Linked DNA regions of Kluyveromyces lactis. The protein of the gene in region 2 purifies or fractionates together with the protein of the main gene of each other region. This does not show direct contact. Links are inferred from orthologs where the notes say so. Each region holds a gene or a part of one and is shown on either strand. Other genes may lie near its edges. The genes, in order: RIP1, RCF2 and COX13.

Region 1 (2,547 bases), on a different chromosome or scaffold from region 2:
ACGTGTCTGACCTTTTATGGAAAAGAAGGCGATACAACATTAAGCGATTCAGATTGTAGGTATAACCATGCATCGGGTAGAGCAGGACTATTTCAAAGATTTTGGAATATAATAAAAGGGTTTCAATCACGGTAGTAGCCTGATGTGGTCATTCAGGTATTAATGCGATTGTTTCTCAGTGCAGTTAAAAGGAAAAGTGATGACATACAATTGAACAATGCTTCAAAAGCATTTCATGCTTGCTATCCTTTTAGTTTGCTTGAGCTATGGGGGCACGGGTAGTTGTGGTTTCAAAAATGTTTGTATGAATAAATAATAATAAATCGGGTAGTGATGATGGAACGTGAAAAAACGAGCTTACACGATTCCAATATGACAAACTTTAGCATAAAAGATATTGACCTTGGTTGTGAATCCTACTTGGAAAATACATGGGGGGAGTAGGAGACATCAACATGGGAATAAAGAATTTTATTAGTGAAAGCTGGAGTGAGAAGGACAAAGAGAAAGAGAAAAAGGAAGAGAGTTAAATTTGAGAAATAGCAAAAAAAGGTAGCCTATTTCAACAATTTATCAACATAATATAATCTTTTTTTAGCTTTCCTTCTGCGCTTAACCGACAATCAAGTTTTCACCATCGAATTCATATTGAGGGATTTCCAAGTTCAATGGAGCTGGACCCTTTCTGATTCTACCGGAGATATCGTAATGGGAACCGTGACATGGACAGAACCAACCACCGAAATCACCAGATTCACCGATAGGAACACAACCCAAATGAGTACAGATACCCAACATGACTAACCATTCTGGCTTTTGAACTCTGTCAGAATCAGTTTGAGGATCCTTCAAAGCTGACATATCAACACTGTTAGCTTCTTGAATCTCATGGTCGGTTCTGTGTCTGATGAAAACTGGCTTACCTTGCCATTTCACAACGACATTTTTACCTTCTGGAATAGCAGCCAAGTTGACTTCGACCTTAGCCATAGCCAAAACATCTGCAGATGCAGACATAGAAGCGATGAAAGTTTCAACGGTGGATTTGGCACCGGCAGAGGACAACAAACCTAAAGAACCAACCATAAAGTAAGCATAAGAACGACCTTTGTCAGCATCGTTATTCTCCTTGATATAGTCTCCGAAATCTGGAGTTCTGTAAGTAGACTTGGCAGCAACTGCAGAAGTAGAAATTAATCTGGCTGGAGCAACAGACTTCAAACCAGTCTTCAAACCGTTTCTTAAACCCAACATTTTTGATATTAGTTAGTTATGGATATATCGCTAGAGTGTATTATTCGTACTAATTTCCCGTTCTTATTTCGGAGAAATCGTTTCTATGATATCGACTTTAATCACAACAGCAAAGCACTCTCGGAGTATCAATAAATATATACACAGATATGAATCACCAAGCCAGATTATAAAATATATATATCAATGCAAAAATGTTGTTGGAACTGAAAGTAATAATAAAATGATTGTACTAAATCTTTTTCTATTTTATTTTATTCAGAGAAATTATCAAATTATCTCTATCCATATTAAACAGAAGCCATTGCAGCTTAATAAGTGCGGAAGGAAGCAAAAAAAAAAAAAACAAAGAAAAATTTCAGATTGGGAAAAAAGCCAATAGTAAGAAGCGCTAAAGGATTAAACAAGATATAATTCGACCAGACAGGAATGGACAGTGTAAATGAGCTGGGACGAGGCAGAACTTCCTGGTGTGGTTATTATTTTCCAATTTACAAGTATACAATTTTATTTGCGTAAATGGTCAAGTATAGGAAGATTTTCTTGGTGGAAATGATAACTGACACTAGGGCCTTTGGGCCTAGTGTCAGTAAAACGCTTCGCATTTAACGGCTTTCACATAGTAGCTGTAAGTGTCCATTTCCTTGTGTTTTCTGGTTATTCAAGGGAAGCAGGTTTTTCTGTAAAGCCTGGTTCACGATATGATTGGTTCGTTTGTAGTGATTATATTAATGTATGTTTGTTGCTGACATTATTTAAACCCATAACCCTCATACATTTCGAGGGCAGTCACCAATCGCAGAAGAAGAGTATCACGTGACTCATATTCGTACAAGCAGAGTTCGTTGAAACAGGTATGGGCAGTGGGCAACTGATCATGTGATCCGGACGTTGTGCGGGTTACCTTGAACGGAAGCGTCGCAAGTCCCGTCACTGGAACTCTGTCACTCCCAGTCACGAAATGGAGAAATTGACGTTGCTGTTCATGGGATAATTGTGGTAGTATTTCCCATAGCCATTCCACTACCGGGGTTTGGTTATGGAATCCGCCTTGGTATTTCGTCACAGCGCGAAGTTGTTCGAAATCCATGTCTTGTTCTATGCTGCCACAGATGAGCCTTTCTACTTCACAACTTTTGAACATCGGGAAAGCCAAACCATCCCCGATGACTCTTGTAAACCCGGATTGGAATGCACTAAAACTCGATGAGACCCCCTCATTCATATAAAAATTTACCCACCTTTCAACAAACTCTGTCTTATTCTCCGAGGTTACTGGGATTGATTCTCCTC
Region 2 (2,542 bases):
GAAAGGAAAATCATGAGAAAGGATAAGCATAAGAAAGGATTTGTACGCTCTATCTAAAACAAAGCTGCATTGAGTGAGCAAGTTGCTCTATTAGAAATGAAAAGATTACAAGCAATTTTGGTCCGCATTTTTGATAATTTATGAAGGTTCTTGATTGGTTCAAAAAAGTAGTGGTATAATGTTATGAAAGCCGTACCAGCCGTCTCTATTGAAAAAAAATTGAAATAAGCTGACATTAAAAAACAACCATAACAGGTAAGGCAGCACGCCCGCATTTTTGATCTCGTGGATGGTTGCGCCACGATGCAATGAAACTGTTACAATAATCAATGATAAAAAATAGATCTTCTTTTATTAACTTGTCATGACATAGAATAATGTGAGACAAAATAACTCACCATGAAAGGTAGATTTGGTACGTTAGATCTGCTTCATTTCATTTCGTACAAGGCAGTGCTGTAAAAAAAAAACAGTTAATAGTATATGGGTCAAAATTATTCACAAGAAGGATGTGATGAGGGTGAAAATAGAATTGTACGCCTTGTAGTGTGAAGGCAATATCGTATTTCACCTCAGCTAGATTGAATTCTTCAAAAATTCAATCATATTTAAAAATCTTGGCCTTAACTCTGTCTTCGTTACTTCTGTAACCAGCGGTTGCAGCCATCTCTTCTTCCTTCTCAGCATGCTCCAAAGCCGCTTGCCAACGACGGTCTCTAGCCTCCTTCTTTTGATCTGGATGTAGCTTTTCCTCGTACATAGATAAACCAATTGAGGCTAGTAACAAAATCACAGTTATACCTTGAGCATACATTCTTGCCTGCACAGCCTTTTGGGCTTTGGTCATGTATAAGTCCCTATCAACCAATTTCCAGGATCCATACAAGGAAGCAGCCCATGCACCAACAATGATCTTGTACTTATTGTTGGACAAACCTTCGACCAATTTTTCGCTCATAGGCAGGTTCTTCCATCTGTTATGTTCAGCAAGAATATCACTGGACGAAGAGTCACCATACATTTTCTTATCAAAACTGTTAGAAGATTCTTCAGCGACAATAGAAGCCAAAAGAGTTGGAGGCGTGATGAATAAAGCAGTCTTGACAGACCATGTCATAGCCTTTGGATTGAATTTAGGATAACGATGGGGTAAAAACCTGAACATAGCTGCAGAAATTAACAGACCTGCAGCTGCACCTTTAACACCACCCATCAGGGTGTAGTGACGATGAGCATCAATTTCTTCTCTTGTTAAAATCTTCATCTTGCTGTGCTGGTTTTTTCGTCTTTCAGTTACTTATCTCTTAAGCTAACTTTTGATTCCCTTAGTTTAAATAAGGTGATAAATATCGAATTAATACTGGAACAAAATCCTAATATATCCCGATATTTATTTTAGCCAAGAGGATAAGCATTAACAAATTTTAACTGTCAAACGATATATATATATATAATTTGAAATGATTCTGTAAACGAATAAACCGAGAGAATGCTCTTCCTTATATACGATACTTTTAAATTCCCTCCCTGCCTTTGTTCCAATTATACTTTAATTTTGGTTCGATTTTACTTTTTTACTTTTTTCCTTCCCGTATGATAAATATTCTTTGTTCCTTTATTTCTTTTTCCTGCAATATCGTATACGATTTAGGATTTATGATTGTCCATGAGGCACTGCTACTGATGTTACGTAATTTTGGCAGTTAGCCAAACCCTATATCTCTCGTTCTTGTTGCCAGCCCATGAACAGGCTCAGCGTAACCTGTTCATTGCTATCAACGTATCAATGAACCATTCGATTGAAATTTCTTCCAAAGGTCAGACAAGTTTTTGTCTGAAAATAACTCCGTCAATTAGAAAGTGACTATGTTCATTACACTGATGTTCAAAATCAATCCATACTTTAGCGAAGCTAATACCTAAGTGGGACCAGCCGAACGAACTGTCCTACTCAGAAGGATTTGCGCGTGCATACGGAGATAGTGGTTTTAGTAGTTGTTACCTGAGAAGAAGCCGGTCGGAATTTGCCACGGTTGTGGCTCCACATTTCCTTGACACAAAGTTTCCTGTGATATGATTGGTCAGTCACACATGTTTAAAAAAAAAGGAAGAGCAGAGAATATGCATCGACTAACCCTAACAGCTGGAACCTACCAGATTCATCCAATAGAGTTACAGGATCTTCGAAAAGCTTCAGTTTTGGACCTAAGGCATCGGATCGTTCGGATAATATCCATTGCAATTAGTGCAGTGTTGCGTTCATTAGCCTGACCTTTTAATACAAGGGAGAGTGATTACCATTTTGAGAAATCGCCGAAATACTATTTTTCAGGTTTCTACTCTTAAGAAAAAGAGCTTAATATGTGGAAAGCCTTTGCTTTGAATATGGCCAGCAGAGTTTTGTACATCACTCTGTTTTGACGTAACCGATATGTATACTAGCTTGAGTCTCTACTGAAATACTTGTAAAATGAACGCATATTAGACTATTGAAGATTTTTTTCAACTAGTTAATAAGCGAACACTGATACGTCATTTTTTT
Region 3 (2,381 bases), about 270 kb from region 2:
AGTGTGCTCCGGATATATTCTGGATATATGTTGTATATACGCTGTACCAGCGTATCACTTTTCGTTTTCCCCTTATTTTTTGTTCGGTTAACAATGGGGAACAATGTAAAGTTAAAGTTTTTGGAACGTAAAGTCAGTTTGTATTCATCATTCGTGAAAAAAAAGTAAGTATTGAGTTACTAAAGACGTTTGCCATAACGCTGAGCATATCGAAGTTGATGTACTGCTTGTCACAGATTCAGTACAATAGATATTGATAATGAAGAAACTTATATCTACTTATGATCATTGACACAGTGTGACGTGTTTTATTCTATTTTTCTAGGACTGAATTTACAATAAAGATAAAAAGTGTGTTTATTCTTCTTGAGTTAAATAATAATTATTTGTATGGTGGAAACTCCACTATAAAGTTTATCCATATGTTTGTTGTATTTTGAAGTATAATGCCAGATTAAACGGATGTTTGAATTCTTTTGAAGATAATTTGAGGATATTTGATAAAAGGTGTTTTAAAAGATAAAAAAACCCACAGGCAGGGGCTATCTTGATATTTCATTATGAATGGCCAAAGCCCAACAAGTTGAGATCATTTATCGAACTGTGTTTAATCGTGAGAGACGTGTCTGTTAATGACTGGGTTCCAGAACAAAGTCTTGTCACCGTCACCCCAGAAGAAAGGCTTTTGTCTTAAGTTTTGGAATTCGTAGTCTCTTGGCCATTCTTCATCTGGAACGTGCTTCAAATGTTCACGGTGCTCAGCGTGTTCAGCTTCAACGAAGTAGGTGTTGACAGCGGTCAGAGCAATAGCTGGAGCAGCAACAAATATGGAGATCTTAACCCACAAGTTAGAGGTTTGCTTAGCGTGCTCAGTACTGTGCTTCATGTAGTCCTTGTAAGCTTGGGCAGCAGCCAAATCTGGCTTACCGAAAGCTGGTTCCAAAGCATACTTTGGTAGAGTAGAAGCTCTTCTAATGGCTTGTTTGAACATTTTTGATTATATCTAGGGTCTGGCTTTTCGAAACAGAATATCCTTATGGAATTAATTCACCAAACACAGTTGACGTTAAATAGATATCAAACTCGAAATGAATGTAAAATGAATTGTAAACAGTAAGAAAACTAATCACAAAAATCTCTTTTAAAAAAGTACTTTGACTTACCAATAAAACCTTTTCTATTATGGAAAGAGTAGCTTTAATAACTTGAACTTTCCTAACTATTAAACAATTTTTTTTTTCCTACCTCCAAAATTTTCTAGCATCAACACAATCTCTCTCGCGATATTTCCATATCCCACTCCATATAAAAAACCAAAAATGGCACGACGGAGAAACTAGACAAAGATCATGCTTTTTCGATGTTGTAATTTCGGTATCACATTACACGGTATGAAAATGATTGGTTGCTGGTCACGAGAGACTTAAGTTCTGGTAATGGACACTGAGCATAAAAGGTTCCTATTCCTTGTTTAAATGGTGTTGCTGTCTCGCCGGGACTACAAACCCACAAGTAGCTCATACGATACCGTTCACACTGGCAACAGATTCAGAAGTACTTCCTACTTTATTTTCTGTTTCTGTTGCATCTCTTTATACATATTGACAAACAGTGTAATATTGACGTTCAGGAATTCAAGTCCGGGTAACAATATTTGTTTCACGGCCTGGCGGTAATTGATTTTGGGTTTTTAGCAAACCTGAGCCATCGCATGTCATTCTAGTAGCTGCTGCAGGGACTTGCCGGCTGGGGTTGGTGTAGTGGACAGAAACACCGTTCCTAATATATAGAATGCTAGATTAAGCTGAGAGCTTGTTGCATTGAATTCAAAAAACAAGCGCGTTGGCTAATAGAACGCCCGTAGGATCAGCCATGGTTATGGAAATCAAAAGATTGCCTATTGCTGCTTAAGTGTAGCACGAACTTGTGGGTAATGTAACGTTTGTAATTACAAGGGCGTATGACATAAATTAAAAAAAAGAAGAAAAGTAAGAAGGAACACATACAGACTCCTAATGGATACTGTGTATCGACAAATAAAAGCTAGGACATTTGAAGTAAAGAGAGTATTACATCTTTAGTTTGTCTTTGAATTCTTTGATTTTTCCATGAATCTTTCGTATTTCCTTTTCACATCCACTTCATGGATAGATGAGCCTGTCACTTGATTTCCTATCGTGAACCATCCAGGACGGATGTTATGGTCCCTACCGAAAATTTCAAGTTTACGGGCATGTGTACCGACAAGTCTTTCAATGATTCCATACAATTCGTCCGGCTTTCTACTGGTTTCTCTAGTTGCGCTAATGATCAAGTCAATGTCTATTTTTCTGTTTAGCCATTCCGGATTGCCTTTGACCCCGACGAGTAAATGCTCTTTA

The links.
Region 1: the proteins of RCF2 (region 2) and RIP1 purify together in Saccharomyces cerevisiae (affinity purification with western blotting; 5 studies listed by BioGRID, with this or other methods). This does not show direct contact. The link is inferred for Kluyveromyces lactis from reciprocal best matches to the Saccharomyces cerevisiae genes RCF2 and RIP1.
Region 3: the proteins of RCF2 (region 2) and COX13 purify together in Saccharomyces cerevisiae (affinity purification with mass spectrometry; 3 studies listed by BioGRID, with this or other methods). This does not show direct contact. The link is inferred for Kluyveromyces lactis from reciprocal best matches to the Saccharomyces cerevisiae genes RCF2 and COX13.

Annotation. Positions count from the first base shown.
Region 1 is NC_006041.1:2,012,879-2,015,425, reverse strand, and holds RIP1 (ubiquinol--cytochrome-c reductase catalytic subunit RIP1), read right to left. Parts: upstream 1,255-2,547; coding exon 613-1,254; downstream 1-612. Other genes in the region: putative E3 ubiquitin-protein ligase HUL4, read right to left, coding at 2,006-2,547. UniProt on the Saccharomyces cerevisiae protein: Component of the ubiquinol-cytochrome c oxidoreductase, a multisubunit transmembrane complex that is part of the mitochondrial electron transport chain which drives oxidative phosphorylation.
Region 2 is NC_006042.1:573,823-576,364, forward strand, and holds RCF2 (Rcf2p), read right to left. Parts: upstream 1,265-2,542; coding exon 599-1,264; downstream 1-598. UniProt on the Saccharomyces cerevisiae protein: Assembly factor that plays a role in the assembly of the respiratory chain supercomplexes (SCs) composed of ubiquinol-cytochrome c oxidoreductase (cytochrome b-c1 complex, complex III, CIII) and cytochrome c oxidase (complex IV, CIV).
Region 3 is NC_006042.1:844,094-846,474, forward strand, and holds COX13 (cytochrome c oxidase subunit VIa), read right to left. Parts: upstream 992-2,381; coding exon 608-991; downstream 1-607. Other genes in the region: IME4 (mRNA (N6-adenosine)-methyltransferase), read right to left, coding at 2,078-2,381. UniProt on the Saccharomyces cerevisiae protein: Component of the cytochrome c oxidase, the last enzyme in the mitochondrial electron transport chain which drives oxidative phosphorylation.